2 linked regions of the Drosophila melanogaster genome follow. The protein of the gene in region 1 interacts with the protein of each later gene in a pairwise test. Each region holds a gene or a part of one and is shown on either strand. Other genes may lie near its edges.

Region 1 (5,300 bases):
AACACCTTCTTGTTGGCCAAAGGGCTGGTATTTATAGCCAGTCCACCTACTTGCTAATTTGAAGTGTTTTTTTTTTAAATTTATTTTAAAAAATTTATGCTTTCAAGTTTTTATAAATAGGTAACTTTAGGTAAGCCTTGGACGATTCCAGTTAGCAGGAGGATAAGCAAATAAATAAATGACTTTGCTTTGCTTTAATCCCATTTAACCAGTAGTTTCTCCATAAACAATCTGATAAGATAAGGTGCACATGGATCGATCTTGCCTCATTTAAATTGCAGATTTCATCACCTTTCCCATCGATCGATATGGAATCAGTTCTTGGGTAACCAGACCGCACAATGCAATCCCCCAAGAACAATAAGGGTGCGTTGAATGCGTTTTGAAATACACCCGACCAGAAGAATATCTTTGTGGACGCACAAGGAAGCACTTTTGCACAATCTCGATGCAGTCATCGATATCGGCGATATTTCCGATTCGCTGCAATAGCTTGACTGATAAGCGAAGAAAAGTGGCTGTCCTGTCATCGACAGCGGAATACCCTCTTATCGTGCAACGGCGCACGGGGCGTATGATTAATAAAGTCCGGGTAAACAAAAGGTACATACACGAAGGCAGAAGACGGGGGCGAGAGGCGGGGCCGAAAGCAGGGGACGCACCTTCGGAAAGTAAACGACAACTTGACCCAAATTGCAGACTCGAAAACTCAGGAGAGTCAGCAGAGTGAGCAGAGTTAGCGGAGTGAGCACCAAGCAGAAGAGCGCCAATGGGGGAAAAGTGGAGAAGGCGACTTCACAAATCGCTGCATTTAAATAAACAAAACTACGAGCCGTGCTAATTTTTATGAATTTCATAACACAGTCTTAATTTTAATAAGACGTCGCTGCCTATTACGTGAAAGCTCCGCGATGCGTTGCGCTTCCACTGCGCAGTCACGCATGCGCGCCAAAAACAGGCCCCAATCCCCAAGCCCCCAATCCCCCGATCCACCAAGTAACTGCACTTCTGTGTTTTTTTTTGCTTTTCTGTATTTCTAAGGCGCAAAGCGAGTCGAAGCCCAAACACAAATCGGAGTGGGCAAGGCCCCAAAATGGGGGTCGGGGGTTACGCAGCGGAGTGCCGGTGTGTGCGGGCGTGGTGTTGTTGCTTCTCGCTGCGGCTGTGCGGCTCTTCTCCCAAAAAAAGCAAAAGCGACGGAACCGAAAATGAAAATGAAAACGAAAGCGAGAGCCAAGGAATAATGAGCGCTGGCTGCGCTGCCGACGTCGCGCGCTGCTGGTGTCTGTGCTCGCTTGAGCTTGTGTGGGTGCCTTGGGGCTCCCTTTTGTGTGACGTCACGCGATCGTGCGTTGCATTGAGTTTTATCATGAAATTCACTGCATCAGCGCATAACTAATACTGGATTCTAGGATGGGGTCTTAATTAAACAATTAATATCTAAACTAATATCTAAACTAACTTATGTGGAACATGTATAAATGTAATAAATTCTATATAAAAAATGTAATTATCCTATCAAATATGATATTAAGTTCCGGAAACTGAAGAAGTATCTCCCAGCTTCGTACCAAATGCACTTTGCTTGCATTCGTGCTTTTGGCCCGCACAGCAACCACAAGAATGGCCCAGTGAATTGCCTTGCGACGAGAGTAAAAGTGATTGGGAAAACTCTTGCTTTTTTACCTGATCGCGGCTCTCGCTCTCATCCACAGGTAGTTGCCTTTGCCTTTGCCTGGCTTACTTGTGCTTTGCCTGCTCTTGCTTTGCTTTTGCTCTGCTCGTGCTGTGCTGTGCTGCTGCCGCCTTTGCTTTGCTGTAACGGCGACGGCGACGGCAACGCTTGGGGCTTCGGTGTGGAGCGGTACGAGTGAATGTGTGTGTGTGTGTGTGTTACATGCGCTGGCCGCTCATTTTCTTTTTCTTCGGCTGCGTCGCTGCGCCAAAGACTTTTTCACTTTGCCGCGTTCGCGTTCGCGTTTTGTCACAGTTACAATTTACCACTCGTCGGCGACGGACGCGCGCTCTCCGCTGGCCAAGAAAATCCAAATCGAAGAAAAGCTCGCTCAGCTAACGGTTCTTCAGGAGCGTTTCTAACACCAGCACACGTACGTGTACGAGTACGAGAGTACTAGCCAACGGCAGTCGTCAGGCCGTCTCGTATAAAATCTGTTGCATCACTGCCGCGGCACTTCAGTCGTTCGAACGCGTGCGGCCGGAGAAGTGCAGTGTCGAGTTAACAAAGTAAACAAACTGAATAAAACATTTTGCGCTAAGAATCGGAAACATAATAAGCAATAGTACGATGCTCGGCTGCAGTGACCACCCAGGCAGCCTAAGATGAAGCATACGGAATAGCGAGCTATCCGAGTCGAACATTTCCAAAGACCCACTTCTTACCTCAGTGCAATGCTTTAGGCGCCAAACGAGCAAAAGTTTATTCCCAAATCTGAACTCTAAAAACAGCCAAAATTAACGCTCTACAAGGAATCAAGATTCTACCCTCCTTCGCGCAACTGAAAATGCTGAACATGGAGTCGCCGCAGATGTACGCCGATGCCGTTCAGACATTGGCCCAGCTGGACCTCAAGAAGGAGCCTCCCCTGCAGCAGGCCACCATTGGCCAGATCACACTGACGGCCATGTCCACGGCGCAGCAGCAGCAGCAACAACAGCAGCAGCAACAGCAGCAGCAACAGCAGCAGCAACAACAGCAGCAGCAGCAACCCCAGCAGCAGACTACCGATGCGAACAACAACACGTCGCAGGACGCGGCACTCCTGGTCAAGCAGCACGCCATGCACCAGATGCAACAGGTCGCCGCATTGGGCAGCAACAACAACCTGCTGCAGAAGCAGATGCTGCAGCAGTACTCCACTCAGACGGACCTGGACGAGCTGACCACCCAGGAGATCACGCTCGACCTGCAGCACCTGATAGACGACCAGTTCAGGGACACGGAAACGCTGGGCATCTTCAGCGACATGGTGACCAGTCCGGGCGGACTCTCGGCCACCCTGCCGCCGAGCGGAATGGTCTCGGCGGCGGCGAAGGTCCTGCAGCAGCAGACCCTGCGGAACCAGCACGGCTACGGGGGCAGGGGAGGCGGTGGCGGAGCAGGAGGCGCCCTGGCCTACATGCCGCAGCCCGTGCACGCCACCTACAACAATTCCAGCGACGAGAACAGCTCCGTGGGCTCCGACTCCAGCACGATCAAGGAGGAGCCCATCGACCCCGAGTACAGGCGGCACCTGCAGGAGGCGGCTAGCCAGCAGGCCGCCTTCATGGGCAATGGAGCAGGCCTGTACAACGGCTACGGATCGGGGGCGAATGGCTTGACCGGGGGCGGAAACCCACTCAACGGAGGCAACACCACGCCCAGCAGCAACGGGAGCAACGGCAGCACGGGCAGCAGCAACGGCAGCCAGTTCACCAACCTGACGACGGCCAACGTCCTGGCGCACCACAACCTGCCCCACCTGGCGGCCGCAGCAGGAGCACACAATCTGCTCAAGCAGCACAGCAAGCTGCACGCGCAGCAGCAGCATCAGCAGCACCAGCAACAGCAGCAGCACCGCAAGCACAGCAACAAGCATGTGGACAAGGGCACGGATGAGTACCGCAGGCGGCGGGAGCGGAACAACATAGCGGTGCGCAAGAGCCGGGAGAAGGCTAAGGTGCGCTCCCGCGAGGTGGAGGAGCGCGTGAAGAGCCTGCTCAAGGAGAAGGACGCCCTCATTCGGCAGCTTGGTGAGATGACCAACGAGCTGCAGCTACACAAGCAGATCTACATGCAGCTAATGAACCACGCCAATCCCGAAGTGAGCCGCGTCTGCCGCAGCTTCCTCAACACCAACGAACACTCGCTGTAGCCGCTGCCAGCTAAAGCCAGTGTCCTGCGAGTTCTGTGTGTGCGTGAGTGCTTGAATGCTTGAGTGCTCGTGTGTGTGTGTGTATGAGTGTGTGAGTGCTCCAGCCGTAAGTGTGTGCGTGTGAGCGAGACTCTGCTAAATCAAAGATACAAATGCTGTGTGGGTAGCTCGTAAGGTTCATTCTCCTCCTGCTCCTCATTGTCCTCTCTGGCCGTAGACGATGGAGCGGTCGCGCCAAGTTGGTGGGCCGCTGCATCGCTTGGAGACCAAACTCTTCTGCCGATCGCTGTGGCATTCCTTGTACATTTACTCTGTCCCCATTTCTTGTTATCACTGTAAAGCATATTTTTGTACTTAATTCTAATTCTTAACGACTGTAACATATATATTTCGCACGTTTTTATACATAATCTTATACATTATATCTATCATAAAGTTAAGCCAAAGAAAAATGTTAAAAATATTAATGTAAAAAAGAATAACACGCAGGAACGAAGAACGAAAATACAAACTTCAAAACCTATTAACTATTTATACATCTAATTCAAATGTGTACAGTTCTCGACGGTGTGCGGCTTCGCTCTATGCTTGATGCCACGCCCACTCCCACGCCCAGCCCTGCTTGACACACAACATTAGCAAATCTCTAGTTCGTAAGTCGGAGAATCAAGCATCGCTTTACCTGCACAATCCCCAGAGGAAAGCCTCCCGAAATCAACCAACTTGTAGCGAATTCCACGGGTTCGCTTCCGAGAGCGTAGAAGATATGAATGCTATTAATTGTAAGGCAAACGCAATGTTCTCATTTTAATTTATATATTCGTAAATTAAATATACACAAACAAAGAAAACTGTAAAGCAAATCTAAACAAATTAAATAAAATTTACCTTATACAAAGAATCGGCTTGTCGTGCGTTTTGACTAAAACCCAAATGAATTTCAGATAACTTCTTAATTTCCACAGTTCAACTACCAATCTGCAATTAGCCCTAGCCACAATTTGATGCAAAAGCCCTGCCAAAAAGTGTCTAATTAAATGTCGGCCATACTTGGGCGACAAAACGATACGCTGGGCGAAGACCAGAAAGAGACGCACCACCACCGCATTGGGAGGGCAGGGTCTTTCTTCTGTCCGCCGTCTTCTGTCTTCGCTGTCTTCGCTGTCTTCCGATGGGACAAATACGACAAGGCAATGCATTTCGGGCTGCCAGGCGCGACACTGGGCCAATTGCAGGGAGGAAGGAGGGCGAAGTGGAGGACCCCAGACAATCGCAAGGCGGCCGTGTTGACACAATTTGACAGTAAGACAAACCCGAAACGAAAAGCAAATTTATAAACGACAAAGCGAAAAAGAATTAATGCAACTCGAGAAACCGACAAATTAACGCGCCAGAGAAAGCCCAAACAAAAGCCACAGAGCCACGGAG
Region 2 (7,891 bases), on another chromosome or scaffold:
GAGTGCAGTGACCAGAGTGAAACATTAATTGCTTGCAAATAAGTATGTCGTATGCAAATAAAATATTTTTCAAATTCAATTTGATGTCGCCACCCCTATAATTTCCCCCCTTTTCGGTTGCATTGGTGTCACGGTACCAGTATAATTCTCGTTTCAATCTTCCTTTCGAGAAACAGATGCAAGACTTTGGAAAAGGGACGGGCGAAAAGAGAGGTTTGTTGGTGTTATTTGTTCTGTTCGCGATTTTCGCATTCGTATTTATCGGCTACTTCGTGGGAAGAAGAAGCAAAGACGGACGTTGCGTTTCAAAAAGAGCGTTACAATATGAAGAATTCAATCGAAGAGATCGGTGAAAACCAATGGACGAAATACAAGCCTGCATAAACAGTTGCGGTGAAAATATTAGTATTCAAAATCCCAGTATCCCAGAATGAAAAAATTCAAAACTAAATGAGTTATATCTAACCTACAATTGTACCAATTCTATCAACGATTTTAAAAATACATTTTTCAGGTCTTTTAGTCCAACAATTCGGTCTTAAAAATTATATTTAAAGACCCTCATTTCCAATTACTAAAGATTCGATTGCGATAGTTCCTATTATTGTGACCGCGAATGTGCTCCTGTGTATCCTCAGACGGATGTCTTTAGTGGGAAATCACCTTGCGCCAGCTGCAACTGCAACTGCATCGCATGTACAGCCCTGCACCGATGCACTATATCTGCCATATAGTGCTTAGGGGTGGAATAGTGCAGCTGACATATGTATGTAGGAATCTACCTGCGACATAATGCCGCTCGGTGGTTCTTACCTGCTCCTTGAGGATCTCGGATAACTGCCTTCTGTTGCTGTCGTAATTCCTGCGTAGCCCAGTGATCCTCGTTTCGGACAGCTGCAAAAATCATGAAATCGTCTGCACCGCGAGGTAAACAGCAAGGTAAATCCACATACACACACACAAATGAGTAATGATCTCGCACAGGAAAAAATTCAATGATCGATTTGGATCCAAGAGATTGAAGCGTTATTTGAAGATTCGAGTTTGGGAGCATTTATTTAAATTCTAGGATTTACTAGAACTATGTTTGTACATCTGAAATGTCCATCTGTGGTCATATACTTAGGGATATAAGAGATCTTAATCTGGAGTATTAAGAAGACAAATTTCTTAATTTTAAATTTGTATGTATATTAGGATATTAAAATGTTTTATGTTTTATGTTTTTTTATAATAATAGTAGTTTGCAAAGCAACTACTCAAAAACTGCACATCATCATTGAATTTGGTTTAAAAATTTCGTAACTATGGGAAAACAAATAATTTCAACCAAACTTGTAAAATATTACCTTATCAGAGCAGGAGAAAACCTTAAGTATCCAAGCCAAGAAACCACAAAAGATATTTTCGAGTTATAGAGATGGTTATACGGGTGTTTCTGCCTTCGATATCCGTACCCGTACTCAATAAAACAAAATCGAAGTTCAAGCTGACTGTACTTTCATTAATTTGATCTTAAAACTGTGGATTTTATCAGTTTACTAACCCCCTCTAATTAACTTATCGCCACGATTTATTGGTGCGCAGATTACTACGTAAAATCGTAGAAGAAAAGTTTAAGGGTTGCTGTGGGTATAGTGTTCATACAGCTACGTATTTCGAATTCAGTTGGAATCGGAATTTCAGCGTTCAGCGCAATTTTTTCAAAAATAACGATGCTCTTGTTCTTTCTCTCTCTCCCAACCATTTGGATTTCAAAAAATAACGACGCTCTCTGGTCTCCCACTTCTCTTTCCATTCCGACCGCATTGAGCTAAATTCCTGCAACGGGTGTGAGCGAGGCAGAGAAGGATCGGTGCAGTGAGAGCGAGCAAGAGGGTGCGAAAGAGAGCCGTTGTATTTCGCCGTTCTCTTCGCTTCGTGCTTCTTCCGACCGCGTGGATGGTCACATTTGAAATTCAAACTGCGGAGAAGACGGTCGCGTTCGTTTCGTTTCGCGAGTTCAGTGAGCAGCGTCCGATTTGTTTTAAAATCGCCGCATTTCGTCAGTACCCGCATTGCAAATGGCCAAACTACCGAAGTAGTAGTAGCCCTGAGTTTAAACGAGAGTTTAAATCGAATTTAATCGGAGACTAAACGGCGCGTCGCTAAATGTCAAAACAATTAACAGCCAAGTACAGCCAGGCTAAAGCGGAGTAACAAAATTAGTAAGAAGAAGCATTAGCAGAGAATAAGACGAAGAAAACGTAGCGAGAGCAAGAACTGTGATAAAGTTAAGTGAAGTGGTAAACACAAGCAAGCATGGATAACAGTAGCGGTCAAAACAGCAGAACGGCTTCGTCAGCGTCCACAAGCAAAATAGTCAACTATTCGTCACCAGTCTCGCCAGGAGTCGCAGCCGCCACCTCCTCATCCTCATCATCCAGCAGCAGCGGCATGAGTAGCAGCCAGGAGGACACCGTACTGGGATTATTTACGCCCAAAAAGGAGTTCCCCAATGCCAAGATGCTGCAGACCATCAGGGAGAAGCTAATGACGCCCGGCGGAGCCTGTGACCTTCTGGCCCTGGGCATCGCAGCGGAACCCACAGACCAGCAGCCCGTCAAGCTCATCCAACAGCGTTATCTGATCAGCGCACAGCCTAGTCACATATCGGCCGCCGTGGCTGCCAAGACTCCCGCCTCGTATCGCCACTTGGTCGATCTAACCGCCTCCAATCTGCGCTGCGTGGACATCTTCACCGGGGAGCAGTTCCTCTGCCGTATTGTAAACGAACCGTTGCATAAGGTGCAACGAGCCTACTTTCAGCTGCAGCAGCACGACGAGGAGCTACGCCGGAGCACCATCTATGGCCATCCACTGATCCGACCCGTGCACGATATCATACCGCTTACCAAGGATCGCACCTACATCCTCATTGCGCCCGTGCCCCAGGAGAGGGACTCCACGGGTGGGGTGACCGGGGTGTACGAGAACCTGCACACCTACATCCGCCACGCGAAGCGACTGTGCGAGACGGAGGCGAGGGCCATATTCCACCAGATCTGTCAGACTGTTCAGGTGTGCCACCGCAACGGGATTATCCTCAGGGACCTCAAGCTCAAGCGGTTCTACTTCATCGACGAGGCCAGGTGAGTTGCGTGTCCAGGTGACACCTTCGAAAAACCCATATACACCAATATACGCCACATATGCCTGACTTATACCAACTCAATTGCATATGGCTGGCTAGTCGGTTTATTTTGCAATTCGATGGAAACTCGTTATGAGCGAGAGATCTTGTTTGTGGTCGTGTGTTGGTGGTGCCACAATTGTTGCTCTTGTTATTGGCCCATGTTGTTGTAGTTGCTGCTGCTGCTGCTGTTGTTGCTTTTGTTTTTGTTGCTGGCGCCGTCGTTGTGGGTAACATTGAACATTTAACAAGTGTTGCAATCGAATCACCAATAGGCCAACAACAACAATTATACTGACAAACCGAATGAACGCAAGGCGTACGTATGTACAGCACAGGGTATAATGGTAGTTTCAAACTAATTTTATAAGTAAAAATATATTCCTACTATGCGAAGCATTGCAAAAATGAATGGGAATAAGATCAAAAATGTTAAATAATTTCAAAGATAAGTTTTTGAAATACACCTATTATTAAACTATTAATTAACATGGTGTATTAGCTTTGTAGCTAAAGAATTATTATTTATGTAATATCATTGAATTGCCATTCAGTGAGCAAGCATATGCCTTATTTTGCAGACCCCGACTGTATCTCTGTGTACATACTCGTACACAAGGGCCCAATGTGCCACACTGATGGCCAAAATGTTGGCTCACTCGTTTTTTCATTACACATTTCGGAAGCTAGAAATTGCCACATTTCAAGAATTGTTCAACATAGCATTTGCAATATGGTTTTGGGGTGGGGATCTGTGGGCCACGTACTCGGCGTTCGCTTGATTTGTCGATTTCCCGTGTGTGAGTTTACAGTGGATGATGAAATATTGACCCCACCTTCATCGAAAATGTATTTTCGCATATGTTAATTAACACAACTGTATCGAAAACGCGCTGTCTCCCGTTCTTATTATCTTCGAAATTGTACTGACATCAGCATGGAACGACTTGAACATTTGGTCGATTTCGTATGACTCTGCAATTAGCGCAATATCTGCTGATTTTTTCGTCATTTCGTCGTTCTGTGCCAAGTGCAAAACGGCGGAAGGAAGAAACCAACCCATAGATCTCTATCTATACTATACTTCTCTCACCTTGGCGAGAAATAAACAACAAGTGTTCAATACGACTCAAATGCGCTGCGATTACTGGCGCTCACTTCCATTCCCATTTCCATTCGAATAATACATCGCTATATAGATAAGTGCTCGCTGGGTGTACATACATACTATATGGGCTATGGGCGTGGCCATATCCATATCTACATATGTCCAACGGGGCGGCCACACACACGCACAACCAAATAACGAGCCGAATTTTTAAGGTCACAGTGCGGTGAATGTCCCTGACTCTGATCTTCTGTATTTGAACGCATTTATGTACATGCATATATGCCAGTGCCTCCCATATACAAATGCGTATGCTTATGCATGTAAAAATCTCTGGTTCATACTTTTATTTTGTCTACTCTTTTGCCGTACGTAAATACTTCCAAGGTGTTTGAGCATTTATGCGGCGCCGGTTTTCCGTATTTCGTTTCGATTCCGATTTTATTTTAACCTCTGTCGCGGGTTAATGTGTGCCAAACGTATAGAGCGAGAGAGAGAGAGAGAGGGAAAGAAGAGATCCACAAGACGCTCTTCAAAGCTCGGTTATGTCGCGCATCGAGGTCAGCAGCTGTAACTATTCTCCTCATCACATCTCCACCTGCCTTCCGTGCACTCAAAAATATAAATATTGGTTCACATAAAACCTTGATCTTAAAAGTATAATTATATATGCTTGCCTTGATCTTAAATATAAGTTTATAATGTTTCTGTATCGAATGGGGTAACTAGACGATAGAGGACACAAAAATCAAATGAAACCCGAAAACAAATGTATAGAAACATGCTCTTAATTAAGAACCGTGTTCTTTGAATATATTATTTAAATGCGCTATCTCTTTTCCCTCTTATTGATTGCCCACCTGTTGCTATCAAGTTGAAGGTAATTTGTTTCTTTCAGTGTACACTGTGATTTGTGCCGAGGAGAGGCGCGTTTTCAAAGCTTGTTTTTGTTCAGGGTCAGCTCGAGGTTTTTTTGGCCTGCTTTGTGTTTGGCTCTTTGGATGTTTGGATACCAGACCGCGGCGACCGTGTGTTTGTATATCGCTCCGTTCGCTATCGGCGGAATACCCAATGTTGGTAGTGGTGCTCGGGTCCCAGCAGAAGCGCCGTTGCAGCAACAAGTTGCGATACGTCACTCCACCTCACCTTACTACTCACGCAGCTCACACAGCGGACTCTCTTTGGATCTATGCGCTGTGCTCGCTGGCGTTTTCGTTACTTTTTTGCTTTTTGCATTCGAATGTGGGCCAATGTCAATGGAGTGGAGTGGCCCAATGGAGGGGGAGTGGAGTGGAGTGCAGGGGCGGAGGCGGCGGCGGCGGCGGCACTCGCTCATGGGTGTCGGGGGTCGCAAGCTGCGCTTTCGTCACCAATCCAAGTCAACTCAGCTCAGCTCACAATGTGCTCTCTCGGCCAATTTGCCTTTTGACTTGTCAATACGCCAACGCCAAAGACAACTACAACTGAAACTGAAGCTCCGTGGCCGATCGATTCAAGTCTCTTCGATATTGCGCTAGCTAATGGCCCCACAAAATCGGGGGTTATGCAAGTCCCAGGGATTGCACATGATGTAGAGCTCGACGATGGGTCTGATGAACGGGTACAGTTGCGATCAGAATAGTGGCAGTGCCAACTCAAGTTGCAGTCATATCTACTCTTCTTTGGCAACAATAGTTCTCAACATATTAATAGAAACGGGTAAAAAAAAGACTGTTAGTTTTATTTCTAAGAAGCATAAACATATATTTTGTACCCTATTTTGGCGGATTATTTATTCGATTTTGTCATTTGCTAATTACAGAACGAAACTGCAGTATGAATCACTGGAAGGCTCAATGATCCTCGACGGCGAGGACGATACTCTGAGCGACAAGATCGGTTGCCCACTGTACACCGCTCCAGAACTGCTGTGCCCCCAGCAAACGTACAAGGGCAAACCGGCGGACATGTGGTCGCTGGGCGTGATCCTGTACACCATGTTGGTGGGTCAGTACCCGTTCTACGAGAAGGCCAACTGCAACCTCATCACCGTCATACGCCACGGGAATGTCCAGATACCCCTGACGCTGTCTAAGTCGGTGCGATGGCTGTTGCTTTCGCTGCTGCGGAAGGATTACACGGAACGAATGACCGCCAGCCACATCTTCCTTACCCCGTGGCTGCGAGAGCAGCGCCCCTTCCACATGTACCTGCCAGTCGACGTGGAGGTGGCCGAGGACTGGAGCGATGCGGAGGAGGACGAAGGCACTGCCGCCGATGCGATGGATGATGACGAGGAAGGACTCTGTCCCTTGGGTGACAAGCACGAGTACGAGGACATTGGCGTGGAGCCATTGGACTACACGCGCTCCACGCTCCAAATGGCTCAGAATGCCAATGGGCTGTCCACGGAACCCGAACCCGATACGGATGTGGACATGGGCTGATTGGAGCTCGTGGAGTCACCCACGGGTTGCATTCTGGGACACGCTGGCGCGTTGGCTGCATCCGGCTGAATGCCGACTGATTAGCCGCCGGGACTGGGCATATCGGATGATATGACACTGTGGACATCCTGGCCTTCCGGGTCGCGCCGACTCCGACTGCGTTCCACGTCGTCTTCCTGCAGGTGGTACTGCCAACAAAGACTTAAAGCTTAGACACACAAGAACTCACTGCCTTCCAATCGCGCTGCAGCCCCGATTCGATTCGTTCAAGAATCACGCCGCTCCGCAGCCTCCTCTCTGCAACCGATTCTTCCTAAAACCTACCTATGTACAATACATTTAACATTTTAATTTTTTTGCAAACTGTTGATCTTATCAAAGGACAGTCGCCCTGATTTGCTTTTGGGCTTTAAAACACATTAGTTTCCATGTTAAAAAATGCAACGAATGCAAATTGTTATTTATTATTTAATACTTCTGTATTACGCTTTGTGTACTCTTAAAATCTTGTAAGTGAAAATTGCAAAAAAGAACATAATACATTGAAATTTGATCTCACCAAGAATAATTCGAATTTGTTTCTTTAGGGCTCTGGGGTAAAAAACGCTGTTTTTATTTATTGACACAAGATTGTAAATATTTATAAATGTGTAATTAGTCAACCAGACTATGAGCTTAACATGAAGATTCTAGATTCTCAAGAAGCGGAAGGCTACAAAAGATGAAAACAATGAGTCAGGGGAAAATACGATTTTTTGGTTCTAGATGCGTCATATTGTGTACTAGTAAAATTCAACATTTGATTAAGATCAGATAATGTTTGGTCAAAAATATGAAAACAAAACTGTCCAATCTATTTTCTTCATGAAGGAGATTAATGAATAGTTCACGTCACAAAATCGAGAATTCTCTCGAGTGTCGAAAGTCAACAAATTAGTTATTGTTGTTGCTGAGATTCCCATTACCGAGCAGCAGATTCCCAACCTGATAATGCAACCCAGTGACTGGAAGTTATCAGGTGGGCGAACGTGACTTTGGCTACGGAAATATTTGCGACTTTGCTCCACAATAGCAGTAAACTAATATTGTGAATAGCTGCTGAATGCGGAGGTCCCACCACTGTCATCTGATGTGCCGACGTGACGGGGACTTTCGCATGTATACCACCTACATATACTCGTGTAC

Evidence for each region.
Region 2: the proteins of slbo (region 1) and trbl interact in a two-hybrid assay, tested with the Drosophila melanogaster proteins (2 studies listed by BioGRID).

What each region holds. Positions count from the first base shown.
Region 1 is NT_033778.4:24,330,993-24,336,292, reverse strand, and holds slbo (slow border cells), read left to right. Parts: upstream 1-1,985; 5' UTR 1,986-2,522; coding exon 2,523-3,872; 3' UTR 3,873-4,771; downstream 4,772-5,300. UniProt on the Drosophila melanogaster protein: Required for the expression of gene products mediating border cell migration. Among the DNA sequences that this protein binds with high affinity is a conserved site within the promoter of its gene.
Region 2 is NT_037436.4:20,395,666-20,403,556, reverse strand, and holds trbl (tribbles), read left to right. Parts: upstream 1-1,947; 5' UTR 1,948-2,301; coding exon 2,302-3,131; intron 3,132-6,081; coding exon 6,082-6,706; 3' UTR 6,707-7,269; downstream 7,270-7,891. UniProt on the Drosophila melanogaster protein: Adapter protein that negatively regulates different signaling pathways to coordinate cell differentiation, proliferation, migration and growth.